Linked DNA regions of Stegostoma tigrinum. The protein of the gene in region 3 interacts with the protein of the main gene of each other region in a pairwise test. Links are inferred from orthologs where the notes say so. Each region holds a gene or a part of one and is shown on either strand. Other genes may lie near its edges.

The links.
Region 1: the proteins of spry2 (region 3) and zdhhc17 interact in binary tests that used the Homo sapiens proteins (3 or more experiments, as listed by UniProt). The link is inferred for Stegostoma tigrinum from reciprocal best matches to the Homo sapiens genes SPRY2 and ZDHHC17.
Region 2: the proteins of spry2 (region 3) and ubiquitin-associated and SH3 domain-containing protein A-like interact in binary tests that used the Homo sapiens proteins (3 or more experiments, as listed by UniProt). The two-hybrid records come from large-scale screens. The link is inferred for Stegostoma tigrinum from reciprocal best matches to the Homo sapiens genes SPRY2 and UBASH3A.
Region 4: the proteins of spry2 (region 3) and otx1 interact in binary tests that used the Homo sapiens proteins (3 or more experiments, as listed by UniProt). The two-hybrid records come from large-scale screens. The link is inferred for Stegostoma tigrinum from reciprocal best matches to the Homo sapiens genes SPRY2 and OTX1.

What each region holds. Positions count from the first base shown.
Region 1 is NC_081371.1:62,884,626-62,891,723, forward strand, and holds the start of zdhhc17 (palmitoyltransferase ZDHHC17), read right to left. Parts: upstream 3,011-7,098; 5' UTR 2,983-3,010; coding exon 2,911-2,982; intron 1-2,910. UniProt on the Homo sapiens protein: Palmitoyltransferase that catalyzes the addition of palmitate onto various protein substrates and is involved in a variety of cellular processes.
Region 2 is NC_081365.1:101,813-109,357, reverse strand, and holds the start of ubiquitin-associated and SH3 domain-containing protein A-like, read right to left. Parts: upstream 3,021-7,545; 5' UTR 2,923-3,020; intron 1-2,922. Other genes in the region: cytochrome P450 2J1-like, read left to right, coding at 5,460-5,622, 5,710-5,850. UniProt on the Homo sapiens protein: Interferes with CBL-mediated down-regulation and degradation of receptor-type tyrosine kinases. Promotes accumulation of activated target receptors, such as T-cell receptors, EGFR and PDGFRB, on the cell surface.
Region 3 is NC_081359.1:30,489,331-30,496,952, forward strand, and holds the start of spry2 (protein sprouty homolog 2), read right to left. Parts: upstream 3,005-7,622; 5' UTR 2,962-3,004; coding exon 2,816-2,961; intron 1-2,815.
Region 4 is NC_081362.1:1,438,496-1,446,000, forward strand, and holds the start of otx1 (homeobox protein OTX1 B), read left to right. Parts: upstream 1-4,486; 5' UTR 4,487-5,146; intron 5,147-6,227; 5' UTR 6,228-6,362; intron 6,363-6,531; exon of another isoform or gene 6,532-7,505. Other genes in the region: ehbp1 (EH domain-binding protein 1), read left to right, coding at 821-935, 1,141-1,231. UniProt on the Homo sapiens protein: Probably plays a role in the development of the brain and the sense organs. Can bind to the BCD target sequence (BTS): 5'-TCTAATCCC-3'.

The DNA.
Region 1 (7,098 bases), on a different chromosome or scaffold from region 3:
ACCATGAGTTCTCAGGAAGGGTCACTGGACCTGAAACATTAACTTTGATTTTTTTTCTTCACAGATGCTGCCAGACCTACTGAGCTTTTCCACCAACTCCTGTTTTCATTCCTGATTTACAACATCTGCAGTTCTTCTGGTGTTTATTTAGACAGTCACCCAAGGCTGGAATCAGACCTGGGTGCCTCGCGCAGTGAAGCAACGGTACTAACCATCAAGCCGATGTGCTGCTCTGAACAAGTAACAACGCAAACAACTCAGACAAAAGCATCAATAACAGAATGTTGACCAAATTAGACATCAAGTGCAATTTCTGAAAGCAAAACAGCAAATAATTCAAACAAAATTAGTCACTTCCAACACAGGGCTGCACATTGAGCAAAGATCATTGATCAGTACAAAGACACATCAAGATGATGGATGAATTCAGGTTCAATTGGGCATTTGGCAAGCCCCATTAGAAGTATGTAAACTCCTGGTTGGGAAAATTCTGAGATATATGCATTCTTCCAAGGATTTAGAAGTTCTTCTGAATAATCCATTTTGATGTGATTGCTTTTGAAATCTGAAGATAAGCTTGCAGAGTGCAAATGTTATTGTTCTTCAGAACTTGGCAGTACTACTAATCTGGAGGGAGAGACAGTAGGAACTGCCGAACTGGAGGGAGGTTTTATTTGATTTTATAAAGATCTACAAGCTGGCGTCCTGAACTTCAAACTGACTAGAACACTGCTGAACATACCCTCAGCACAAGAAATTAAATTGACCCCTTCTTCAAATAGAATTTACAAATCCCTCCACGGCTTTGATACACCCAAAAGTAACCTTTTCCTTGTCCGAGCAATGCTGTGTGCTCTTCCCAACCAACTCTGGTCCGTTTCTTCACAACAAGTGCAGCTTGAAATCATCTTGAAAATAAAATGTCCTGAGGAGCTGAAGAAAATTTAACAAACAATTTGATACTTAAGGTGCTCAGGATATTTAGAATAGGAAACCAAAGTTTGTCAAAGCTGTCAGTTTAATAGGGCCTCTAAGTTTCAATAACATAGAATATAGAACATTACAGCACAGTACAGGCCCTTCAGCCCTCGATGTTGTGCCGACCTGTCATACCGATCTCAAGCCCATCTAACCTACACTATACCTATCCACCCTATCTAACCCACTGATTATTTTATATGTTTCAATTAAGTCACCTCTCAACCTTCTTCTCTCTAATGAAAACAGCCTCAAGTCCCTCAGCCTTTCCTTGTAAGACCTTCCCTCCATACCAAGCAACATCCTAGTAAATCTCCTCTGCACCCTTTCCAAAACTTCCACATCTTTCTTATAATGCGGTGACCAGAACTGTACGCAATACTTCAAGTGCGGCCACACCAGAGTTTTGTACAGCTTCGCCATAACCTCTTGGTTCCACAACTCGATCCCTCTATTAATAAAAGCTAAAACACTGTATGCCTTCTTAACAGCCGTGTCAACCTGGGTGGCAACTTTCAAGGATCTGTGTACATGGACACCGAGATCTCTCTGCTCATCTACACTACTAAGAATCTTACTATTAGCCCTGTACTTTGCCTTCTGGTTACTCCTATCAAAGTGCATTAAACTCCATTTGCCACCTCTCAGCCCAGCTCTGCAGCTTATCCATGTCTCTCTGCAACCTACAGCATCCTTCGTCACCATCCACAACTCCACTGACCTTAGTGTCGTCTGCAAATTTACTAACCCATCCTTCTACGCCCTCGTCCAGGTCATTTATAAAAATGACAAACAGCAGTGGACCCAACACCGACCCTTGCGGTACACCACTAGTAACTGGTCTCCAGGATGAACATTTCCCATCAACTACTGCCCTCTGTCTTCTTTCAGCAAGCCAATTTCCGATCCAAACTGCTATATCTCCCACAATTTCCATTCCTCCGCATTTTGTAACACATAGCAGGAAATTCAATCTAAGTCAACAATGCCTCAAACTTCAAGAAAGACAACTTCAGAACATAATTCTCAACTCCCTGGCCTCATTCTCACAATTCTCTTCTCAAGGACAATTCCACTGCTTTTCATTGCTGTTGATAGCCTGCGATGGGGGAGAAGATTGCTTTACAGGCAAGGCACTTGGCCCCATCCATTCAGATACTTCATAGAGACAGCAGACAATTGTTGGCAGTAACATCATCAGTGTGTGTCTGGAAACTTGGCGACAGATAAAAATATATAAACACAACTGCTTTCAACACCATTACCTGAAAGGAAAGTGGTTTTGGTAACCGAAATGCAGCCCAAGCGGCCAGGAAGTTTTCAACTGCCTGGACACATTCTGAGGACAAAAATATTTCTGTTGTTTCCCGCCATGATTGAGTGATTATTGGGAACTGAATGCTTGCAAGGCAGCCATTTAAAGAAAGGGGATCGGGATTAGGCCATTCAGCCCGCCAATCCTGCGCTGACACTGAATACGATCATGGCTAATCATCCACTTCAATACCCTTTTTCCACACCAGCCTCATATCCCTTTATGTCATTGGTATTTAGAAATCAGTTAATAGATTACTACAAATGAACTCAAAGACTCAGCTTTCAAAGCCCTCTAATACAGAGAATTCTAATGGTTCACAAACCTGAGCTAAAAACATTCTCCTAATCTCAGTCCGAAGTAGTTTCCCTTATTGTTAAAATTGTGCACCTCGAATCTAAACATCCCAGCCCGGGGAAACATCTCATCCCTGTCAAATCCCTTTCATGGGGGAGGGGAAGAGGGAGGGTGGGAATGGAAGGGTGAGGGGGTGATTAGGGTTGGAGAAGGGGATGTCGGGCTTCAGAGCCAGTCCGCAGCCCCGCCGCACCCTCCCAGGGGCTCCGGGTGTTGTTGGGCCGGGGCTCGGGGTCAGCGGGCGCTGATGACACTCTCACCTCGGGGTGGAGCCCTGGGACACATCCCGGATCCGGCTCCAGCTCGGGATCGTCCCGGTGAAGATCCGCCATCTCCAACCGCCTCGCTGCATTCTGGGATACTGGCGCCGCACTCCAGCCGCGAGCAATGGATGTCAGAGAGGGAGGAGCGATCGATGGAGGCTGAATAATCGATGGAGAAAAAAGCTTTCTGGAGTTACTGAGGCTTTTTGTCTCTAACATAAAATATCTTATGTATTGATGAGGCATTACCTTGTTCCTGCTGTAATTACCCCTCCCCTGCCACAGTCCCTGAAGGATTAAAGATTCATCTTTAACACACTCAAACATCTCCTGGCAATAAACATCTTCAAAAACATTCAGAACCCTTTAGGTTGACTAGTTTTTAATAAGAGTAGACATGGGAGTGTGTGGGCACTCTTGACTGACCATCCAGTTGGCATCGGGTGGTCAATTGTGTTAATGTGTTGAGCAGGTCAAGAGGCCTTCTGTCACACATTTCCCACTAGATGGTGTGTGGCTCCACCCAGGGGCTCACTTGATTGTGTGTCACAATCACCTTGTGGTCTGACACAAACAGTCCTGAAGAGTGAACACAATGTACTGTATTCCACTCAACATTACCACAAAGACTAAATAAAAACCAAACGAACTACAGATGCCATAAATCAGGAACAAAAACAAATGTTGCTGGAAAAACTCAGCAGGTCTGGCAGCATCTATGATAATAAAGTGTGGAGCTGGATGAACACAGCAGGCCAAGCAGCATCTCAGGAGCACAAAAGCCGATGTTTCGGGTCTAGGCCCAACACATCAGCTTTTGTGCTCCCCAGCTTCACACTTTGTTATCTTGGATTCTCCAGTATCTGCAGTTCCCATTATTTCTGGCAGCATCTATGACTGGTCTCGTGACCCTTCCTCAGAGGACTGATGCTGCCAGATCTGCTGAGCTTTCCCAGCAACTTTGTTTTACTTACCACAGAACCCAGCCTCAGGTTTGTCTTCCACAAAGTCGAACTTTTACCTTCCTACAAAGACATCATGGTATCTTATTATCTTAGTTGGTGGTGCTTATTGCATGCAATCAAGTCTTAACTCTTTCAGACCCTTTCAAAGCCAAATATAAATGAAACGAACAACTGTGCGCAGTGTCCTCCTTGTGCAGCCCTTGAGACAGGCAACATATAAAGTCTGCATGTTGATGCAACAAATAGAGAGATTTATTCATTGCAAGAAGGATGGCAGATGACAGTGCAGCTGTTCAGTGAGATTAGATCATTGATGATTCTATTGAGTGCTGGAATGCGTGAAGGGCCAAATGGCCTACTCATGCTCCCAAGGAAAATGTTACCACATGTATGGATAAGCTCTTCACTCTTTAACAAGATTTATAAAGCCTCAGAAAAATGTTTTAATAATTCAATTAATGTACTATTTATAAAACATTAACCTTGATTAATTTAGGTTAACTATATATTAATTTACTGATTGGATTTAATAAAGACGATGAAAATCACTTCAATAAGCATATCTCCTACACAGGGCCTCATAGCTCTTGCTCACTCCTTTCTAACTTCGATATTACCTTCATGGCCACTTAATTATTTGAAGCAATTATCAAACAGTGATAAGAGGTTTTTCATACTGTCCTATTACTTCCTTGCATTGCTTTCTCCAAGTCATTGCTTTATTGTCATATATCTTATTGCAGGACATTTCCTTGTATGTTGCAACAATTTCCTGCTCTCACTTCTACATCCACCCCACCCCGTCATGAGGAAAAGATTTTGTTCATAAGCTGACACGTTTCAAACTTAATTATTCTTTAAGTTGCATACTGTCTGCAACATACACTCAGAAATTCACCAAAGATCCTCAGGCAGCACTTTCCAAACCCACAACCCACTTCTATCCAGAAGGTCAAGGGTAGTAGATATATAGGAACACCACCTCCTGCAAGTTCTCCCCCAAGCCTCTCACCATCCTGACTTGTAAATATATTGCCATTTCTTCAGTGTCCTTGGGTCAAAATCCCAGAATTCCCTTCTTAAAGACGGTGTCAGAGTACTTACACACCAACTGCTGCAGCAGTTCAAGAAGGCAGCTCACCATCACCTTCTCATGGACAAGTAGGGATGGGCAGTAAATGCTGGCCCAGCCAGCAACACCCACATCCCAGGAATTAATTTGAAAAAACTCACAATTTCCCTGTCTGATATCTTTATTTACATTGGAACATAAGAAAAATGAGGAGGAGGAAGGCCAAAGATGTGCAGTGTGGAGCTGGATGAACACAGCAGGTTAGGCAGCATCAGAGGAGCTAAGAACTTAGCCTGAATTATTCTTGACCTGAATAAGTGCAGCTTTTTAAATCAGCAGCTCCTCTAACTGAATCAAATCTGAGACAAGGCACGGATTTGCCGCATCAGCATAAGAAACATACTGGAGTCTTTCAAGATGACCAGATCAGTAATTTGATTTCATTGATTTGTTGTCACATGTACCTTGTTACAAAACACAATGAAAAGTGTTGTATGGTGTCGCCACTCGCTGGTACTGTCTTAAAACACAGAAAAATAAATGAAAATATAGAATATAAAGGCAGAAAAAATGAAGAAATAAAGAAAAACTGTCCAATGCAATGGCTCTTTTTGTTAATTGCTCTGCCCTGGATCAAGGGCCTGCTGGCCAGGTATGAGATCCCTTCACTGCCATCAACGGAATGAAAGTCACTGCCCTTCACCTCAGCCAATACCATCACCACTGTATGTTCTTGCTGGTCTTCGCCAATGCAGATGCCAATGATCCCTCCCAGTACCACACTGGCCCAAACTTGATTCCGTTGCTGCCACAAGTCTCCTTCGGGTCTGTCTCACCGATACAGCCTATGCTAATGCCATCGCATCTCATAATGGGCTCAAAATCGCTCCTGCCACCTTCTCCTTGAATCTGCGCTGGAAGCGGATGCCTCTGGGAAAGCAAACCAGCTTATGCTGCTGCAGCCTTGATCAGTGGTCGGACCACCTCGACAATGCTGAAGCTGCCGGGAGCCCAAACTCTCCTCCAACGTTGTTGCTCGAGTTTGAGCTGCTGGGCCTAGTCAGGTCTGCACTGCTGGGCCTACCCAAAGCTGTGCTGTTGGACCTACCTGAGTCTGCACTGCTGGGCCTACTCAGATCTGCTCTGATTGGCCACCTGAGTCTGCAAGCTGAACCTACTCAGGTCTCTGCTGCTGGGCCCCCTAGGTGGGAAGGCTGGGAGTGAGAAAGACACAAAGAGTTTAGACAGTTTAAGCAAGTGAATAATATGTGGAAATGAGAAGATATGCATTTGGCAGGAAAAATGAGAAGGTGAATATGATTTAAAAGGAGAAAGACTGCAGAAACATATGGAACAAAGGGATTCATCCCCTGTCCATGAATCACAAAAAGCTATCAAGCATGTGCAGCTGGTCATAGGGAAGGCAAATGGAATATTCACAAGGCTGATACAGGTATGGAGAGACTGTCTTATGAGGAGAGGTTGGGTACATTGGACCTGTATTCATTGGAGTTTAGAAGCATGAGAGGTGACCTTATTGAAACATACAATATTCTGAGGGGATTTGACAGAGTTGGTGTGGAAAGATTGTTTCCCATTATAAGACAGTCTAAGTCCAGAGGAGACAATCTTAAAATGAGGAATCATACATTTAAGATGGAGTTCAAGAGGAATTTCTTCTATTGGATGCTAGTGAATCAATGCAATTCTTTATCACAGAGGGCTGTCGAAGTTGGGTCATTAAGAATATGCAAGGCTGAGTTCTTTGTGAGGAAGGGAACAAGGAAAAAGGCTGGAGTTGAGGACAATCAGACCAGCCTTGTTGGTATTTTAGAATGGTGGAGCAGACTTGATGGGCTGATTGGTTTACTTTTGCTCGGATGTCTAATGATTTCTTTCTGTCTCTCTGTCTCCCAGCGTGAGGAAAAAGACAGGAAAATTGAAAGACTTAGAACAAAGAATTCATACAAAACAAGATGTACCTTCATCTAACTAACCATCAAATTGAAGAATGACTGTCACTCAACTGACAACAGTGCGTCACCATTGTAAAATGCAAGAGGGTTGTGAGGAAAATAATGTCTGAGCTTGTCATCTTGACTTTTGCAGCTGAATTTTTTTTTGGTTAAGTCTGAATTGCACGGAATT
Region 2 (7,545 bases), on a different chromosome or scaffold from region 3:
TTTTTATAAATGACTCGGACGCAGGCATTGGTGGATGGGTTAGTAAGTTTGCAGATGACACTGAAGTCGGTGGAGTGGTGGACAGTGTGGAAGAATGTGATAATGGGAACTGCAGATGCTGGAGAATCCAAGATAATAAAATGTGAGGCTGGATGAACACAGCAGGCCCAGCAGCATCTCAGGAGCACAAAAGCTGACGTTTCGGGCCTATACCCTTCTAGGCCCGAAACGTCAGCTTTTGTGCTTCTGAGATGCTGCTGGGCCTGCTGTGTTCATCCAGCCTCACATTTTGTTATATTAGTGTGGAAGAATGTTGCAGGTTGCAGGGAGACTTGGATAAACTGCAGAATTGTGCTGAAAGGTGGCACATGGAGTTTAATATGGATAAATGTGAGGTGATTCACTTTGGAAAGAATAATAGGAAGGCAGAATACCGGGTCAATGGAAAGATTCTTGGTCGTGTGGATGTACAGAGGGATCTTGGTGTCCATGTACATAAATTGCTGAAAGTTGCCACCCAGGTTGATAGTGCTGTTAAGAAGGCTTACGGTCTTTTAGGTTTTATTGGTGGAGGGATTGAGTTCTGGAGCCGTGGTGCCATGCTGCAACTGTACAAAACGCTAGTGCGGCCTCACTTGGAATATTGCGTGCGGTTCTTGTTGCTCCATTCCTGGAAGGATGTAGAAGCATTGGAAAAGGTGCAGAGGAGATTTACCAGGATGTTGCCTGATCTGGAGCGCAGGCCCTATGAAGAAAGGTTGACGGACTTGGGTCTGTTCTCATTGGAGAGAAGGAGGCTTAGAGGGGATTTAATAGAGACGTACAAGATGATCAGAGGATTAGATAGGGTGGACAGTGAGAGTCTTTGTCCAAGGATGATGACGTCGGCTTGTACAAGGGGGCGTAGCTGCAAATTGAGGGGTGATAGATTTAAGACAGATGTCAGAGGCAGGTTCTTTACTCAGAGAGTGGTAAGGGCGTGGAACGCCCTGTCTGTCAATGTAGTTAACTCAGCCACATTAGGGGCATTTAAATAGTCCTTGGATAAGCAGATGGATAATGATGGGATAGTGTAGGGGGAGGGGCTTAGATTAGTTCACAGGTCGGCGCAACATCGAGGGCCGAAGGGCCTGTTTTGCGCTGTATTGTTCTATGAAATGAATGAAATGAATACCAACACTGCATTTTGCATTATGATGGATTTTGGAAGATTTAATTCAAGGGCGAACTATACTGTAAATGGAAAAGTCCTAGGAAAAATTGATGAACCGAGAGATCTGGGTGTTCAGGTCCATTGTTCCCTGAAGATGGCAACGCAGGTCAATAGGGTGGTCAAGAAGGCATATGGCATGCTTTCCTCCATTGGGCGGGGTATTGAGTACAAGAGTTGGCAGGTCATGTTGCAGTTGTGTTGGACTTTGGTTCGGCCACATTTGGAGTACTGTGTACAGTTCTGGTCACCACATTACCAAAAGGATGTGGATGCTTTGGAGAGGGTGCAGAGGAGGTTCACCAGGATGTTGCCTGGTATGGAGGGTGCTAGCTATGAAGAGAGGTTGAGTAGATTAGGATTATTTTCATTAGAAAGACGGAGCTTGAGGGGTGACCTGATTGAGGTCTACAAAATCATGAGGGGTAGAGACAGGGTGGATAGCAAGAAGCTTTTTCCCAGAGTGGGGGACTCAATTACTAGGGGTGATGAGTTCAAAGTGAGAGGAGGAAAGTTTAAGGGAGATATGCGTGGAAAGTTCTTTACACAGAGGGTGGTGGGCGCCTGGAACGTGTTGCCAGCGGAGGTGGTAGATGCAGACACGTTAGTGTCTTTTAAGATATATTTGGACAGGTACATGGATGGGCAGGGAGCAAATGGACACAGTCTGTTAGAAAATAGATGACAGGTTAGACAGAGGATCTTGATCGGCGCAGGCTTGGAGGGCCGAAGGGCCTGTTCCTGTGCTGGAATTTTCTTTGTTTTTTGTTCTTTGTTCATTTGCCTTCCTGACCATCAACTGAACTTACGCCAACCTTAAGAGAATCCTAAACTAGAACTCCCAAGTCCTTTCACACTTCAGGTTTCCAAAGCCCTTCCACATTTAAAGACGAGTGTATGCCTCTGTTCTTCTTATCTAAAAATAGAGCCCAACACTTTCCATCTGCCACTTCTTTGTCCACTCACTTAGCATTTCCTTCTGCAGCCTCTATGCTTCTTCAACACAACCTGTCCCTCCACCTAACTTCTGCCCTCAGCTCCTTGTCCTGATCATTCATGTATAATGCGAATAGTTATAGTCCCAACTCGGAACCATGCAGACCTCCACTAGTCACCAGCTGCCATCTTGAAAAAGGCCCCTTCATCCCCAGTCTCTGTCTTCTTCTACCAGACAGCCAATCCTTCATCCATGCCCCTAACACCATGGGCCCTTATCTTATTTAGCAGTCTCCTGTGCAGCATCTTGTCAAAGGTCTTCTGGAAATGTAATACATTACATGTACCCGGTCTCCTTTACCTAACTTGTTCATTACTTCCTCAGAGAAGGTTTGTCAGGGATGACCTCCTTTTGATGAAGTCGTGCTGATTCAACTCTATTTTATCATGCACTTCCAAATTCTGTGCAATCTCACCCTAATAATGGACTCTAAAATCTAACCGATAGCCCAGGTCAGGCTAACTGGCCTACAGTTTCCTATCTTCTGCCTCTGTCCCTTCTGAAACAGGGCGGGTTACATTAGCCATTTTCCAAGTCTCCAGAGCCCTCCCTGACTCCAGTGATTCCTGAAAAACCACCACCAACGCCTCTACAATCTCCTCAGATATTTCCTTTAGAACTTGGGGTATAGTCCATCTGGTCCGGGTGATTTATCCACCTTCGGACCTTACACCTTCCTTAGTACTTTCTCCTAAATGATAGCCACTGCACTCACCTCTGCCCCCGAGGTTTTCGAAGTTCTGGTATGCCACTGGTGTCTTCCACGTGAAAACTGATACGAAGTACCTATTCAGTTCTTTTGCCGTTTCTTTGTTCCCTGTTACTATGTTTCATGTAGATGGTTGTAAATCTGATCACCAGATGGCAGCATTGGATCAGTGTAGAAAATTCCACATTGATGGATAGCTGGCATTGAAATGGAACAGCAGAATGTTGATCAGACAGTGAGTTTTATGTTCCCTTTTATTTAAGCCTCACCAACAATATTTATTTAAATAACATCGTTCATGTAATATAACATCCCAAAGTTACAAGAAAAAGATAAGGATATCAAGGAAAATCAAACATGTGCTTTTTAAAACATATTCTTTTGTACCATTTGCACCAATATTTATTGTCCGTCCCAAATTGTGCCTGAGAAAGTGGTGGTGAACCACATTTTTCAGTCTAACTTAAGGTTGAAGTTTGTATCACATATAGATTGCATGATTAAAGAAGGCATTTAGCAAGCTTGCCTTCATTGCTCGGGCATATGAGTTCAGGACTTGGGAAATCATGTTGAGGTTGTACAGGACATTGCTGATGCCTCTTCTGGAATATTATGTCCAGTTCTGGTCGCTCCATTATGGGAAGGATATTATTAAGCTGGAGAGAGTTCAGAAAAGACTTACCAAGATGTTGCTGGGAATGGAGGGTTTCAGTTATGGGGAGAGGCTGGACAAGCTGGGACTTCTTTCACTGGAGAGAGAAAGGTTGAGAGGTAACCTTATCGAGGTTTATAAAATCATGAGGGGTATAGATGAGGCAAATGGCAGGCTGCCTTTTACATAGGGTGGACAATTTTAAGACTAGAGGGCACATTTTTAAGGTGAGAGGAGAAAGACATAAAAAAAGACTTGAGGGGCAATTATGTTCCATACATGGAGTGGTTTGTGTGTAGAATTAGCACATGAATAAGAAATGTTTGGAGTGATATAGATCAGGCATAGATAGGTGAGATATTTTAATTTGGGATTGGGGTTGTCATGGGCTGGTTGGATGTAAGGGTCAGTGTGCTGTATGCCTCTATGAGTCTCTTACCTGTTAGGCACATAAAAAATCTCTACAATCTTCTTTTATATTAGTAGTCAGCTTGCTTTAAACTTCATCCTCTTCCTGCCTGCCTTTTTAGTTATCCTTTGCCTGATTTTAACTATCCCCTGGCTTTCTACTTATCTTCACTACATTGTATGCTTTTCCTTTTGCTTTTATTTTGTCCCTGATGATGCATGCCAGCCAGCTTCATCTGCCCCTTACTATGTTTCTTCTTCCTTGGCATGAATTTCTGTTGCACCTCCTGAGTTACCCACAGAAACTCCTGCCATTGTTGCTGCCCCATCTTCCCTGCTAGGCCCCCCTTCCAATCAACTCTGGCCAGCTCCTCCCTCATCTTTGTAGTTAGCTTTACTTAATTGTAATACAATTATACCTGATTCAATATATTCCAACTCAAACTGGAGGACGAATTGTATCATATTATGGTCACAGTCCCCTAGGAGCTCCTTCACCTTCAGCTCCCTAATCAGGTCTGTGTCATTACATATCACTATTTCCAGAGTTGCCTATTCCGAGTGAGCTCTACACCAAACTGCTTCAAAAAAAATCACATAGGCATTGCACAAATCCCCTTTTTTTCAGATCCACTAATAATCTGATTTTCCCAGTCCATCTGCGTACTGGAATCTCTCATGACTACTGTAATATGCCTTTCTTACATATTTTTTCTTTCTCCGGATTTATTTTCTTCCACACTTCCCGACTGCTGCTAGGAGACCTGCACTCAATTCCCATCAGGCCCTTTCTCCTTTGCAGTTCCTCAACTCTACCCACACAGGTTCTATGCCTTCCAATTCTCTATCACTTGTTATAAATTTAATTTCATTTGAAACTAACAAGACAACTATGCCACTCCCCACCCAACTGCCTGTCCTTTTGATTGGATTGACAGTGCTGTGTTGACAACATTGTAACTTTATGAAATATAAACTACAGGCTTTTCAAAACTTCTTTTATGGTTCATTGGAGTCAGTAATAGACTAGCATTTATTGCCTGCCTTGCTGGTGAACTGCCTGCAGTCTATGTGTCTTACTGACTTGGTGCTGCCCAGATGTGATAGCACATATTCCAGATGGGTGATAATGGGAACTGCAGATGGTAGAGAATCCAAGATAATAAAATGTGAGGCTGGATGAACACAGCAGGCTCAGCAGCACCTCAGGAGCACAAAAGCTGACGTTTCGGGCCTAGACCCTTCATCAGGTGGGGTTAATTTTATAACAAAGTGTGGAGCTGGATGAACAAACAGGCCAAGCAGCATCTTAGGAGCACAAGGCCTGCTGTGTTCATCCAGCTCCACACTTTGTTATCTCAGATTCTCCAGCATCTGCAGTTCCCTTTATCTCGGGGTTAATGTTATATACTGTTTCATGTGGAATCTCCGCCTTATGTGCACAAATACTGCAATTAAAAAAAATCTCCTTTCTGTTCTAAAGCTGGGAAAGAAATATGGCAATATATTCAGCATGAATCTAGGAGCAGAGTTTTTGCTGGTATTGGATGGTTACTCTGTCGTCAGAGAAGCACTGGTCCATCATGGGGAGGTTTTCTCTGCAAGGCCCATTTCACCAATATTCCTGCAACTCAAAGGCTCACATGGTGAGTGACAAACCTACTCTCACCACCAACTTCCTCAATCCATATATCTGAATCACCTTCCAAAACAACTCGTCTTTTCTTTCCCAGGAATTATGTTTTCCAATGGCAGTGAATGGAGAGAGCAACGTCACTTTGCTGTGTCACATCTCAGAAATTTGCTCCCTCAGGTGAAACCATGGCTCATATCTGAGGCCCGAAGGCTGAATGAACGATTTGTGGAATATCACGGTAATTCTGTTTGAGAAAGGACCAATCAAAGAAATTAGAATATTTTAGATTTTTAGATTTTTCTGCTCAATGTTGGGTACCACAAAGGAACATTTGCATTTGTGCACTACCTTATGACACCTCAGGATTCCCTTTACAGCCAATCTTTCTTTTGTCAAGTGCCATTACTGATGTGACGTTGGGAACATGGAAGTCACTTTCATACTGCAGAATGGCACAAATAGCAGTCACTATGTTACTAATGAGACAGTGTTCTTAAGAAGATAATGGAGATGACGTCAGGATTTAATAGGGATTTATATTTTATTCAATCTCTTCAGAATTGTTTTGACGTACCTTTGAGGAATATGTGACTTGAACCCAGGCCTCTTGGCCCAGAGGTAAGGACTCTACCATAGCACTGCAACAACTCTAAACTTAGCTCAATGAATTTTTTTCGGCTAAGTTGGAGTTAAAGTGGCGGAATCTTAATGTTAAAGCCAGCTTGTTCAGGTGTGACATAGAACATAGAACATAGAACATTACAGCACAGTACAGGCCCTTTGGCCCTCGATGTTGTGCCAACCTGTCATACCGATCTCAAGCCCATCTACACTATTCCATGTATGTTCATCGTGACATTGATAAATATTATTTCATATAAAGGGGAGTATAATTCTGGAACTTTCTCCCATTAAAAATAGAAACCTTTGGATTCTGAGAGTCAGCTGGAAGTGTTGAAACCATGATGGATAAATCAATGCAGCATAAGAGGTGTTAAGAAATTCAGAATCGCGGCAGACATGGAGTTAAGATTCAGATCAAAAAGCACTACAGTTAATATTGGTGAGCCTGAACAAACTCCTCATGTCTTTGTTGCACAACGTAAAATAACTGCACAGAGGCACCCTGTCACCAAGTTACCCTTTATTTACAAGTGGACAGTCCTTGACATTGACCTGGCTTCCACACAGCCAACCCTCAGTGTTAACAGAACCTCTGACAATCCTGTTTATATCTGTCAGCCAGGGCTAACTGATTGGACCAAGTCAGAGAATTCATATTCTATGAGGTCCACCTGGCTGACCTTGTTAGAATAACTATATCCCTCCCCTACTAAGTCTTTTCCTTGTAGCCTCTCATTTGCTGTTTCCTGATCATTCTCCTCTGAGTCAGCCTTGGACACAGGTGACATGTACCAGGCCATAGCACACCTCTTGTGCTCTGAGTGTCTCAGAAGAAATTGATCCTCTTCTTCAGTCAGTAAAGGCATCAGGACTGCAATATCCACTATGCCTATCTCAGAGTCTGAGGTTTCTTTGTTGCCAGCCAGAGGGGGAGAACACACAGGCTCCCTTAGTCTTTATGGATGGATGAGCTTGAGGCTCATTTGGAACTTGGCAGGTACGATGTTGTGGGGATAACTGAGACGTGGCTTCAAGTGGACAGGGCCTGGAAAATGAATATTCAAGGCTACACATGCTATCGAAAGGACAGACTGACGGGCAGAGGGGATGGGGTGGCCCTGTTGGTGAAGAATGATATTCAGCCCCTTGAAAGGGGGGACATAGAATTAGGAGATGTAGAGTCAGTATGGAGAGAGCTGAGAAATTCTAAGGGTAGAAGGACCCTAATGGGAGTTATCTACAGGTCCCTAAACAGTCTGGATATAGGGTGTAAGTTGAATCAGGAGTTGAAATTGGCCGGTCGCAAAGG
Region 3 (7,622 bases):
ATCAAGTTAAACAACTGGGGAAATTAGGTATAACTGGAGTTAAATGTAACTGCTAAGATCTTCATGTTGTCATTGATAAAGCCACTGCTTCATTTTCTTGGGAAGTTAGTGCACATTTTACTGCTCATTAGAATATCAGTTTCTAGTTTCTATCAAGAATTTACAGTCACTCTATTAAAATTACAATGTTTAGCTTCATACTCTCCGTAAGTAAATAATTTGAAATGGGTGCCTTAAAACTTCTAAAGGAGTAAAAAAAGTGCAAGAAAAACTGAATTCCATTCAAGTTAAGCGACAAAATAAACTACAAGGGGGTGAAATGGCAAAATAAGCTTGGACTGGGCTCCTTATACTAAATGTTAATTGTGACTTTCAGAAATCTGGGAAACTGTGGACTCTTAAAGCACTTGGCCACGTCCAAAAAAGCTGGGAGAGCCACAGGCACAATTCACATTGTGCTGCTTTTTGCTGAATGTTTTATTCCAAATGACTACATTCAGAAATGGCACTTTTTCAAAATATTCAAGTGCTGTTTGGTTTAACAATACCCTCACTTTAGGGATTAGCAGTGGGGGCACAAGGAACAAGTTTCGTGTCTCCAGATTTAACTTGGGAGACCGTCCCCAAGTAATGCATGCTTATCACCCTCATCTTTATCAAAATCTGCCAGCAATGTCAAACTCAGAACAATATACATATTGTGGGTGAGGTTTTATGCACGGATCATTCACCATGAAAAGAAAATCGTGACAACTTCCATATGCAACTACTGCAGAGAGGAGGCTGCAAATGGGATTACAATCCACCACTTGCGCCAATTCAATTCAGTTCTCTTGACTTGAAGTGAAGTTTTTGCGAAAAAGGCTCTTGAAACAAGGTTTTTTTTTGGTTCTGCCCGACTTCCTTTCCTCTTCATAATAAATAACATCAAACACGTGGAAAGTTGGAGCAGGACCCACTCCTTTCACAAACAAGCAACCGGATAAGGGTCTGGTTAAAGGGGTGGGGGTAATGAGGGAAAGACTGTGGTATGGAACCGGGCTCCAGTCCTCAGCGAAACCGCTGAGGGAGCCCCTTACATCACACCCAGTGACTAATGGTCTGGAGGAGGCTAACAGAGACGGGGTAGGCATAAAAGCGCAAAGCAAGACAGAGGAAGAGTGCAAGGCAAGGCAAGGAAGGGACACAATACGGAGCAAAACAAGGGTGGTTGGGGGGGGGGGGGGGAAGAGGCGTCATAAAAAAGACAAGCAAAGACCAGGGGACAGAAAGAGGGCTAGGAAATGGGGGGGCACGGGGGGGGGGGGGTAAAAGAGGGCTAGGAAATGGGGGGCGGGGGGTAACAGAGGGCTAGCAAACCCGGGGTGGGGGGGGGTGCTAACAGAGAGCTAGCAAACCCGGGGGGGGGGGGGGGGGGGGCTAACAGAGGGCTAGCAAACCCGGGGGGGGGGGGGGGCTAACAGAGGGCTAGCAAACCCGGGGGGGGGGGGGGGGGGGCTAACAGAGGGCTAGCAAACCCGGGGGGGGGGGGGGGGGGCTAACAGAGGGCTAGCAAACCCGGGGGGGGGGGGGGTGGCTAACAGAGGGCTAGCAAACCCGGGGGGGGGGGGGTGGCTAACAGAGGGCTAGCAAACCCGGGGGGGGGGGGTGGCTAACAGAGGGCTAGCAAACCCGGGGGGGGGGGGGGGTGGCTAACAGAGGGCTAGCAAACCCGGGGGGGGGGGGGGTGGCTAACAGAGGGCTAGCAAACCCGGGGGGGGGGGGGGGGGGGGGTGGCTAACAGAGGGCTAGCAAACCCGGGGGGGGGGGGGTGGCTAACAGAGGGCTAGCAAACCCGGGGGGCTAACAGAGGGCTAGCAAACCCGGGGTGGGGGGCTAACAGAGGGCTAGCAAACCCGGGGGACTAACAGAGGTCAGACGGGGTGGCAGAAAATTGCGCGGTGAACGGGCAGAAGTGGGCAAGGAAGACGGGCTAAAACGAGGACGCCTTACGACAGCATAGAGGGGTCGGTGCAATATTCACTCTCCCTCTCAATATCATCTCCGGGCGGAATGTCGCATATCCAAAACCGCTTCCTAAACCAGTTTTTGTTAATGAATCCCTTATTAAAACAGAACACGAACTCGACTTTTTCCAGACATTTGCACCCGTAGCCAAACCCTGTCTAAATGCAGTAGCATCAACTCAGAGCGCCTTTCCCAACTTCACCAGCCCCACAACCCACCCACTCACCTAGAGAGGCGCATCGTCCCGTCAAAAGGTTATTATTCGAACAAACCTGGAACTCACCTAAGTGGGCTGAATCCCAATATCCCACCTGGTCAAGGTTTTCAGCGTATTTCCTTTGCAGCTTCCCCTCCAGTACAGCTCAACCAAACGGATTGCAAAGTTGAGTCAAGTATGTTTTCAAAGTGAGGACTGAGTTTTTTTTAAAGCCCTTCCTAACATAATCCGGCTCTACGCTTGCCTGACCTATTCGGTACAACTGCGAGGGGTCGGTGCTATCATTCAGAATGTTTCTTATTTTACATTGTTGTCCCGGAATTTTAAAAAAATGTTGACGCGTTAAACAATCTAACTCACTCAATGCTTTAAGTGTGTATTTGCCTTTGACATGCAGGCAAAAAGATTAAAATGATTGCCTGCAAATGCATTTTTGTTTAAAAAAAGCCCCAAACGCCTATTAAAAACTTCTCCAAATGCCTTTCGAGAGTTCTACTTCCAATTTTGTTGAAAATTTATCCCAGCGCTATTTGAAAAGTGAGCTGAGTTTACTCCATGCAAGTTAAAAGATGTTTTTTAAAAAAAACTTACCGTGGTTGCGGCGCTCCACGAACTCCTCTCCGTCGGTTTATGACTGCGGATAGAAGCACATATGCTCCGCCAGAAGCAAAGGAGAGAGACAGCCGCCGATACAGACTCCAGCGAAGATCTGCCCCGGCCACTATCTGTAAAAGCATCCAACAGAGGCGGGGAGAGGGTTGGGGGGAAATGGGAGAAGAGACGGTTGGGGGGGGGGGGGGAGAGAGAGAGAGAGAGAGAGAGAGAGAGGATAATGCAGGGGGAAAGGCAACAGGACCTGTCCGATCGCTGATCACAGCCAGCGACCGATCGATCACCGCTTGTTGTGTGTGTGTGCGCTTTTTTTTAACAAGCAGAGAGCGAGAGAGCAAGCAAAATCCTTTTTTTTCCTGAATGAAGCCAGCAGAAGCAGACACGAGGGCGGACGCGCGCACACACGCACTCACTCCACTCAGCTTTTTGGGAAAAAAAATTGTCAATGTTGCAACTTTGCAGAAGGGAATTCTAGGCGCTCGGACTTCATTCACAAGTGGCTGTTTCCTTTACAAGCGGTTTACAGTTGTTCCCCCTGCTACTCCGGCGCCCCGATCCTTCCCACAGATGTGAAGTTTGCAAAGTGCTTTAAAGAAGCAGATTTACGCGAACTGCTATTAAGTTTTCCAAAGGTAGCTGATGGGTAAATGGCGTCATGGGATCGAATAGAGCATTTGTTGTCCCAGAGGATATATTGCATCCGGTCTCTGCTGATTGGTTCTGGGCTCAAATTCATTAGAGTTGAGTGAGTGAGAAATGGGGCGGGGGATGGGGAGGAGACGGAGAGAATATTCAATTTGTGCCAGTAATAAAAGTCTAGTGCTGCTTGAACATGCAGTGCAAAACAGACGTCTTTTAAACTGCAATCTGCATATCAGACTCCAGCTTTTCGACCGGCTCACACACCGCCCCCCCCCCCCCCCCCACCCCGCACGACCCCGGTTATTGTTGAAGCTTTCGATTTTTTTAAAAAGGTTCACTGTCTCTGAATATCAATAATCTGTTGCAGAAACCAGATCGGATCTAAAAATTAATAAACACACGGTAGAATTTTCCAGCAATCAATCCGTACATTTGATCTTCTGTGCCCTTGCAATTGTTAACCCTTCAAGTGTTAGTCAAAACAGTTCCCCAATAAACGTGCCCACACTTATCACTGCAATAAACTGAGCAAACTGTGCAAATTCATTGATATTGATCCCTTTACATGCCAAGGTTTCTAAACTGCCATTAAATATCCCTGTTACTGGAAACCATGCGTGAAACCCACGATCATTTATTTGGGTTCAAAAAAACACGCATTAAAATCCCTTCTCAGGTAAAAGAGAAAATATACACAACAAGAGGAAATGAGCAGATAAAATGAGGCGAATTCAGTTTTGGAGGCTGGTGGAGAGAGAAACGTGGAGACGGTCAAAGAAGAAGGGGTTTTAATAGGGCTTTTCGAGGAGGCTAGAAAACAACTGACAAATAGTTTTGTAGAAAACCCTAAAATATAGGTGTATACTATTGAGTCACAGCACTCTGAGGGTGGAGTGGATGGAATGGAAAACAACCAGCAATCTGGAGTGACAATTCTGGATTCTGGAAAGCAAATAGTTTGCTAAATGACTGGAAACCATCGTGAAGGTTAAGGTAGACAAAGACATATAGATGACATACCGGAGTGAATCCTGTTTTGGATGTCAATCAAGCAGTTTGATCATTTAGCAATAGTGTAGGAAATGAGCAGGGTAATGGTGAGATAGTGCTGGATGTTATCAGCACACATGTGAAAAATAAGAGATATGTTTTCAGATGATGCCACCAAGGGGTAGCATGTAGATAAGAAATAGGAGAGAAGCAAGAATAGTTCCATGGGAGCAAAAGCAGGGGTCATGGAGCAGAAGCAGGAAGAGAGGCCATTACAAGTGATCCTTTGTTGACAATGAACTAGCAAAGTTTGGAACAGATGAGTAGAGCTGGATGATCACAGAGAGTTCTTGAAGATGTAGCCAACTATGTTAAAACCTACTGACAGGTCAAAAAAAGATGAGAATGCTAGTTGACCTTTGCTGCAGTTACATAGGATGTCATTTGTGATTTTATGGTGAAAAAAGCAGCAGTGAATTACTGCTAAGTCAGTGGAAGCCATTTACCGCATATATAACCATAAAAATAACAATTGGTTTAAACAAATAGCTTCCATTATTATAAAGTGTGAAGCTGTATGAACACAGCAGGCCAAGCAGCATCTCAGGAGCACAAGATGCTGCTGGGCCTGCTGTGTTCATCCAGCTTCACACTTTATTATCTTGGATTCTCCAGCATCTGCAGTTCCCATTATCACAGCTTCCATTATTATTTTGGTTTGACAAGGGCAAATGAACGGTTATAAGCCATTTGTTCAGATTTTATTGAGGAACTTCCCTCTTTCACTCTTAGCACTTAACAAAATGCTGTTTCCTGCAGCCAGGAGCTAAACAGGACATATCGATTATCAATAATCAGTAGAGGATTTCCTTAACAGGGTGAGCCAAATAGGTCAGTTCTGTCTGCGAGATGAATCATCACATGTTAATAATAGGCCATTCACTATTGATCCTAAAAATAATGAAAAAAGTAATTTAGTTTCCCGAATACTTGTGGATGTTTTGTTCTCAACAAATTCAATGTTGATCTTTTGATTTAATATTAACAAACCTCATTGTATGTAGGATATGCAGTATAATATGTAATACTTAGCAAGATACTATGAACATATAGACTAATTTAAGGCAACCAATCATGATGCCAAATTCCTAAAATACATTCCTAATGAGACTTGAAGTGAAAACAATATATGTAGCTATGTAACATGGGAAAACAAGCTTAAATTGAGGAGATAACAAGGTGTAGAGTTGGATGAACACAGCAGGCCAAGCAGCATCAGAGGAGCAGGAGTTCCATATTTATGCTTGAGACCTACATCATTTAAGTTGACTAATGGCATTGGTTATTTATTCCAGTGCCTCTGTTAAAATGCCCTAACTAAAAAAATAAACTTCTCTTCCTGTATACTACAGGATATACTGATGCTGCTTGGCCTGCTGTGTTCATCCAGTTCTACACCTTGTTATCTCATATTCTCCAGCATCGGCAGTTCCTACCATCTCTTAAATTGAGGAGAGCTGACAGAAGTAGGACAAGTCATGGCCAAAAATAAAAGATGACAGACAATTTCACGTTAAAGGTTGACTACAACCCATTAAGGTCTCCATCAATATCTACTGTTAGTCATCATAACTGTATTTAGATCCATTTCAAATGTAACCAATTCATTATCTAAATGCTCTCAATTGCTGTCTTAAAGTTTTTGTGGATTGGTGGATTTAGTTTTTATTAGTAATAATTTTAATTCTTCTGTGGAGTACATTAAGTATTGCTAAATAAACTGTGAGCATAAAATATAAGACATTGATTTTTTAAATGTTGTTGCAGTATGTCAATTCTGCTGCCCATCATTAAAATTGATGACAACTATTGTATGTAGATTGGAATGACAAACATACCGAAGACTGATATATACTAACCAGTGTTGTAGATAGGCATGTACTTGGCTGCCTGTACTTGCAGGCTGTTCGTAATTTGAGATCTTTGGTTTATATTTTTGTTTGAGGGAAATGTGTACAGCATGCGCTCTGGTCATGACATTTGCACAAATACATTACTTGGATGACCCATGCATAATTAATGTAATATCTAATGTAATATCTGATTGAAATGGTCAATCAGTTTTAGGATTTGTAACCTTACTTTTGATTGAATCTGCCCGACTCAACCAAATGATACTTTCAATTCAAAGGAGAAGCTAATTTACATTTGGCCCAGATTCAGTGCCACTTGCAATAATTCCATATTTATGCTTGAGACCGAGATCATTTAAGATGACTAATGGTATTGGTTATTTATTCCAGTGCCTCTTGTAAAATGTTCAAACTAAAATAATAAACTTCTCTTCCTGTATACTACAGATGGGCATATTATACTATATATTGTCTGCTGTGGAGATTTCAAAACAGATTTTTTTTGGGCAATGGTGAGCCGAAAAATTAAGATGCAAGTCAAGGACATTTTTATGGGGGTGTTAAACATTTATGAAGAGTATAACTCGTTTGATAAGTTGGGTTGTGATTAGTCCTCAGCTGGTTTATATGATATCATGGAGTACAGTTGTGAACATAACTGATACAGATATTGCACTTGGAAGTTTATAAATACTAGAAAGGATAGTAAAACCTCTGAAAGGTTTTGACCAAGTGGATACAGAGAGAGTATTTCCCTTTGTTGGCACGGGCATGACTATAAGCCATTAATAAAAGATCATTAAGCTGACAGACCAATTATGGTTCAAAGAGTGCAGGAGGGCTTGACAGGAGCAACGCCAAACGTATCTGAAAATAAAATTTCAGCCTGGTGAAGCTACAATGCAGGACCACTTGTATGCCAAGTAGTACAAGCACTATAAAATAGACAGGATTAAACAATTCCATAACAAACACATCAGATCTAGGATCTGAAGTACTGTCACACCCAGTCATTAACAGTGGCGGGCAACTAAACAATTAACAGAGAGGTAAGGGTCCAAAAATATCCCAGTTTCATTTACGGGTGAACCCAACGCATCAGGGAATAAAGACAAAACTAATGCACTTGCAATAAACTTCGTACTGATGTCCAGTCGATGATCCATCTGAGTCATCGCTGCAGGAATTCTTCAGAGCAGTGTGTTAGATCCAACCATTCTCAGCTGTGTCATCAGTGACAT
Region 4 (7,505 bases), on a different chromosome or scaffold from region 3:
TGAACTGAAAAAAAAAGCGCAAAGAGCTGAAATTCACTGTTGGCCAGCGACCGGTACCACAAATAAAGCCAAGAGGCCACTGTCTCTAACCACCCTCCCTGCCCCAGCAGCCTGGAGGGGCCAGGGGCATACATTCAACTCTGATTAACTTTGATGCCAAATAACCAACAGAATCTGCAAAGAGCTAGCTCTTGGTTTCCCGTGAGTGATTGTCAATGTCTGCATTTTTGGTTGTTGTACGTATTTTTAATTTTGTATCCAAACATCCAATATATTGCCTGTTAATGTGGTCAACTTCACAATCAGTTTGGTATCTGGGGTGGGGTTGGGTTGGTATCTGGGATTGGGATTGGGTTGGTATCTGGGATCAGGATCTGGTTGGGTTGGTATCTGGGATCAGGATCTGGTTGGGTTGGTATCTGGGATCGGATCGGGTTGGGTTGGTATCTGGAATCAGAATCGCGTTGGTATCCTGGCTCGGGTTGGAATCTGGGATCAGGATCGGGTTGGGTTGGTATCTGGGATCAGGTTGGGTTGATACCTGAGATCGGATTAGGTTGGTATCTGGGATCAGGTTGCGTTGATATCTGGGATTAGATTAGGTTGGTATCTGGTATCAGGATCTGGTTGGGTTGGTATCTGGGATCGGATTAGGTTGGAATCTGGGATCAGGATCAAGTTAGGTTGGTATCTGGGATCAGGTTGGGTTGATATCTGAGATCGGATTAGGTTGGTATCTGGAATCGGGATCTGGTTGGGCTTTAGCTGGCAGAGGAGCTAAAAAAAATGGAGAGTAACTGGTTTCTATTGTGTTTTTCAGACTGGCAGAAAACAGAAGCTCAGAAAAGACGTGAGCAGCTCTTACTAGATGAACTAGTTATTCTGGTTAACAAACGGGACGCGCTTGTCCGAGATTTAGATGCACAGGAAAAACAGTAAGTTACTAAATTAAGAAAAGTTACTTGGTGGGAATGAAAACCGAGCCTTTCGCCTGCACGTTATCCTCCAACTTTCCGGGTTGAATGTATTCAGTATTCGATCCTATCCAATCTAGCTTTAGTTTTTGAATGTTGCATTCTTCAAGAGTCAGGTCTCTTGGTGCTGCCCCAGTCCCTAATGAAGCCTGTTTGTGTGTTCCAGGGCGGAAGAAGAAGATGAACATTTGGAACGAACGCTCGAACAAAACAAAGGGAAAATTGTAAAGAAAGAAGATAAGTGTCTCATTCAGTGAGAGAGATGCACTAGAAGATCTCCCATCATTTACACACACTTTCACTCTCATTTTAATAAACTATGTGATGGATTTGAATGATATCATGTTTCAATTAGATTGTAAACTGTTGTATTTTTTTTCTGTCAGAGCATTTAATCGTCCTAAGGCCGCAGGTCCGTCATATGGCTGCATCTGTCGTTTTTATGAAAGTGTATTTTGTAAAAAAAAAAGCCGCGTGTAATTGTTTTATTTGTAACGGTGACATTTAATGTTTTATCAGTTACATTTGGGAAGAATTCCCTGCTCATTAAGGAGGATAGGAAAAACACCAAATAGTTGCGAAATGTAGCAGGACAGTTCCTGATTGTTTCTTATTAACACTGAGACGGCTTTCTGTGCGCCGCACTGATCTGCCTCAAATGGATGTTGGATCAGATTTGATACTGTGACCGGGGAGGTTGGCGGTGGTTACCGGCTTCTGAACGTTACTGTTTTACAGAAACTGCGGAACTCCAGCCTCTGGGTGCACCTTTGAATAAATTGATCGCCATCAGTTGTCAAAAAGTGAAACATCTTCAAGAAACAATCTCTAAACCGGAATGTTTGAGCTTGCTAGTTGCTGCATTTTCAATATCTAGGTTTATTTCCATTGAATATTGGAACGTTTCATTGGAGCTGTAAAGTCCGGTTTTTTTTAAAATATAAATAGTTGGCTTTTACAGAGCGGCTATGTTGTAAATGATATTATCTGAAGTTAGTTTTAGTTTAAACTCAGAAAAGGGCTGATGACTTTGCACCCGGTTGGTGCGGTCAGTTCGTTCTCTGGTGTTTTCTATGTATTTATTACCCGGAACAGCGCGAGCTGCTTGTTTAAGCTCCAGGTATTTTGCTAAAACGTTTTTGTTTGGCTCGAAAATGCTTGTTATTTGTCTTCCGAAAGCAAAAGCAGTTCTCTAGAAGATCGGAATCATTTTCAACACGTTTCTCTGCACCAACCTACCGTCAATAAAACTGCTGCTTGGGGGAAGAAATATTTCTGTTTATTTATTCCAGGACCGCCTCTGAATCTTGAATAAAAAGTGAACTTTGAAGCGTTTTATGTGGACAGAATCTGTTGTTGATGCTTTAGCCTAATCATGTTCATACAGACTTGCGACTTCTAAATTTGAGTTATTTACATAAATGACTTCGATTGGGGAGCGATTTACTTTAAATTGGAATTGTTTAATGCATAAATAAAAGTTTTCCTTCGCTACAACCAAACCGGTTTAAGTTTTTTAACGATTGCACGTCAGCAATTCCATCCTGGTGGGTAAAAGCTCCATGCCCAGGCTGAAGCAGGCGCACAGCAAAGTCAGAAAAGATACCTGTAAAGCGTCTCCTACAGCAGTTTTCCCGGGAACTCCTCCCGACCGTCTGAAATCAAAATCAAAGTTGAAAATCCAAATCTTTGTTCAAAATCCCAACCAAAACCCCGAGGTTAGTTTTCTAGCTGCACCTGGCTGGGTTTCTGCCCCTTTTTCCTGTTTTTTTTTCATTCCCTGCCCTGCAGATTCCTCACGTGTGGGGCCCATCTGCGGTGACTGTACTCTCATGTTTTAATTTCTGCAATAGCCGCCGATTGCAGTCATTTCAATCGACTTTTTTAAAAAATATTGCTCTAATATCGACATCTTTCAAACAATTAAACAGATGATGTGTTTTTGTAATGAACTAATAAATATTCGAAGCTGAACTGAACAGCTCGATCAACGGCCGATATACCCCTTTCTGTAAACATTTCTAAATGAACCTGATGTCTCTCATTCTCAAACCCTGCAGCTGTCAACCAGGAAACGCACCAGGCACGAAGCTAAAGTTTAAAGTGCGCGTCTTGATGTTGTTTCCGCGGTGTCACGGAAATATTGAAAGGACATTTTCTGTTTGAGGCTCGTTCCTAAAATAATTTGATAGGATACATTTCTTACACGACGCCAATCACATCAACTAGAGCTCGTAGCCGTTAGGAGCTGAACTCCCTTTGCACATTCCAAATTATTACACTGTTCGTTTCGGTTTCATCGGCGCAAAACATTTCGGATTTTCTGTGGTTGTGTAACTTTGAAATGATTTTTCTGTGAAGTCATTGCAGCAAAGAGGTGAAACCGGCCGCTAGCCATTAACTTTGTAACATCACACATCAATGTCTTCAACTGGAGAAGCAAATCTTTTAAAGTCGCTTCTAAGTGAATCCCATTACTGTTTTTTTAACTCATTTTGAGACAATGTCGGACATTACCATCCTTCCCGCGGCTAGTGTGGACAGTATCTTTTTAATTTGTTAGTGGGGACTATTAATTACTTTGGAGGGAGATTAGCACAAGGAAGAGACAATTTTACAGACACAATCTGTTTAGATGGCAGAGCTTTTAGTCAATGTATTGAATGAGGAATTTCTGTTGTGACACCATTCGAGCCGCCGCCTTCAGAACCTGTAACACTCAACGCATTCCGGCGACTTTCAAATTCATTTGCTGTGTCTAGTTTTCCAGGACAGTTCTGGCCCATCAGTAGCATTCCTGCCACCTCAGTCTGTCCAAAAGCAGGCTTTTGGGGACTGTCGAAAATCAAACAATCTGCACTGGCACCGTTTAGCATCGTTATCACATGACACACAGACCTGCAGAAAGTCTAACCTTCAGCTAAAAGGACGTCCACGCCTCGTGCCAAATATGTTTGAGCCGAAATAAAAATTTTATTTTGTTAAAAGTGCACAGACTGAACTGAGATGTCAGCAAAGGGGCTGCGGCCCGTAACATACGCATGATCCTGGACACAATTGGTGCTAATTATTCAAACTTCCAATTGCACCGTGAGCGCTGGAAAATTCCTAAATCATTCCTAACTTCCCGGCTATAATTTCTACACCGCCTGGAATTTAACAATTATGACTGTAAGTAGTTGTCATCCTCTCCGTTCTTACCTGTTTGCTCCTGGCCGCCCACAGTAAGCAGCAGATTTGACAAACTCTCTGAAAGGGCTAACACGAGGCTGGGAGCCGCAGTTTGAAAACTTTTCAGCGCTTCACCTGGTGAACAAGGAGTTGATGAAGGGATTTAGTCGCGATCGAGACTGGAGGAGTCTCTTGTGAATTTTACATTTGGCCCCTCGGATGTATCTAAATGCGGCTGCAGGTGATGATCACTGGGATTTCAATTCCCCCCCCCCCCCCCCACCACCTTTTCCACCGAGCCAGTTACACTATCCCAGTTTTATCCCTATCCCTACACTATCCCATCCCTGTGTAAAGCAAGTTAAACCAAGTGTGGCCGTTATAATCGGCCCGCCGTGCCGCTCCAGTGCCACGTTACACCACATTCTTAGTTTTGTCTGTACCAAATCTTCCGCAATCTCTGACTTCTACCTTTTGATGCAATAACGCACATCTGTCCCTCTCCCTGTCTCTCCCTCCCCCCTTCCCCAACCCAGGGTTTCAGGCTCGGCTTTAAGAAAATTCGCCTGCAATTTCGGATTAGACAAATACTCTTCTTACAAAGGTTAGTGCTACTTGATACTATAATACTTAACACAGGCTTGATCAGCGCATCTTAAACAGAGACTTCACACAATAAAAACAATCAGTAAATCCCTGGGATTGCTCCAGAAGTAAACTCGATTGTGTTTCATCAGACAAATTAGCAGGATGTTTCGTTTCCTTAATGCTGGTTAAAAGGCAGGATTTTTAAAATGTACATCTTTTAAGTATGATTTAAACAGAGCAGTACAACCGAAGGTTTATGTACAGAACAGTTCAATCCCAGCTGCGAATATGGTTAGCCAAATAGTCTAACAGAAAGGTAGAGAGTATACCTCAGTTATCAACAACTGAACAATAGGAAACAGTGCGAAACTGTGCAAGCCGTGTACAGAATGAATTAACAATGTTCATGTGAGGTACGATCTTATTTTTTTTCCGAAGGCATTAGCTTTTTTTTACGTTTAGCAAATACTGATGTTAATCCCGAACAATTTCTAATTATTTCGAACAGTCGGTTGCGTCTTTCTTGCTCATGGTAACGAGATCTTATTATTATCATGGAAATAGCCTGCCTCGGTGCAAAATTATGTTCCTTGAAGGTTTCACTTCTCAAACGCAGGCGAAAAAGAAACCAAAACAAAAAAAAACTTCCAGCAAAGTGCATTATTTGCTAAGTTGGGATTGAATTGACCGCTGGTTCTTTTGTCAGAAACGGTGCTCGTGTCGATGACTTTCAGTGAACTATTGGGAAAGTCTTGTAAAACCTTCCTTTGATGAGCTGCTCGGTAAAGCAAAAAATGTAATTTCGTCTTCTGGCGGTTGGTTTCTTTGAACATTAGCTCGCTTTCAGTTCCCGCATCAATTAGAATGAGTTGATTTTCTGTGAACAACAAAAGAGTGACCAAAGCCTTATTAAGGTTTTCAGAAGAACTCACCGAGCCTTTCAAAACCAGTTAAGGAAACCCTGTGCCCCTCCATGATATTCTGTTACCGTATGTTATTTGTTCACCAAAGAAAAGTGACGCTTGAAAAGTGGTTTCTTTGATAACCAGCAGCCGACAGTCCTTCTCGAATTCATTTATTTCCCGCGTCGGCGTATTTTTTCTTTAGAAATTTCGATTAAAGGCAGTCTGTCCCATTAAAGTTTACGCTGACTATCCCGAAATGTAAAACTAAATGGGGATTAGGCCGTCATCAATATTCATGAGAACGTACAATTTCAAACACAAAAAAACCTCGACATTTTTAGGAGTAATTATTTTAAAAGTACGACTTGAAAATACAACCGTATTAAAATTCCGGCCCTTGTTATTTGCTGGAAAGGCCCGAAAGAGAGAGATTTCCTGGTTAAAACATTCGTTTACCTGAAACTAAGTTTAACATATCCTCAGCTGAAACCTTAACAGGACATGGGGGGTGGGGGGGGGGGGGGGGGGAAACCAGCTGATTTCTCAATAGAGGTTCATACTTCTCCTTTATTTCATGTATTTATCACAGGAAACTCGTAACGAAAATGATGCGGACAGCCAGGTTTATTTTCTCGCAAGTCAGTGCCTTGTTCGCTAATAATGGTGCACATCCCACCGGGCTGAGAAACAGATACTGAATAGGTGCCAGTTACACTGATGTGAGGTGACAGAAAACCGACTTTATGAATGTTCTCTGAATTGTTTAGTCTCACAACAAGCTGCTAGCTGTATTGCGTGAATTTCCACAGCAATAATTACCTGCTGTAATTAAGTGGTGGCCGCTCGGGTTTCTTCATGAATAACTTTGCAGCTTGTCCAGAAATATGTAGCTGACAGATTGTGACTACTTTCAGAGGAGCTTTTTACCCAGCGATGGGCAAGTGTATTCCTCCTCTGGGAAAGTAGTGCTCCGGCGTCACCTGGAGACGAGCTGTCAATCATGAACAAGTCGCCGGGTGATTGGTGAAGGGCGGATCATTGTCGGGCAGTTCCGCCAGAGCAGCGCTCTCTTAGAGAAGGCTGCAGTGATCAACTCTCCATTGAGTCAGGTCCAAACAAACACGGAACGACCTGCAACTTTCGCTTCCCCAGCCTCTAGGCTCGCAGCAAGTTTCTCACTTTGCTGCTTGTTTCGTTTCTGGGGTGGGTCTGTTTTGGGAAGGGGGGTGGTGGGTGTTTGAATTCAGTCCCACCCGCTCCGACCTAACCTTGTTGCGCGTTGTGCTACAGAATAGACAGCAGGCTCCTGCTTGCGTTTTACTGAGTTCTAGACTCCAGGCCTGGTCTAAAATATTCTCAGGTGAGTGTGAGACTCCGCGGTATTTATTCATGGGGGGTGGGGGGCAGCAATCTCAACGAATTAGTGTGAGGCTAGGGAGTTTTTCTTTGAAGGGGCTAGTTTGAAAACGACCTCAGATTGTGAACTAACTTGTGACTGTTAAAGTACAGCTCTCTATGGCTAACTTTGAATTTTTTTTCCCCCTTGTATTTGTGTTGTTAACTAATTCAATTTTGTAACTGACCTGACTCCTCCTAAAGTACTTGGATCGTTTAATTTGTTTCATTTTCTCACTGAAAATTACAATTGCAGCGTCCAAGGGCCGATTGAAAAGCTTGAGTCCACTTTAGCGGCTAATTGGAGAGGCGTGTTTTTCGTTTTTTTTGTTCATTTATTTTGCTGATAAGGTTCCTCCTTTTAAATTGCGTCCCCTGAGGTCTAATCTAAATTGTAATTGACTTCATTTGCACACGGCTATCGCCTTTTAAATGAGAGCACGGTTTTATCTGGGTTCTGTGGAGGTGGAAA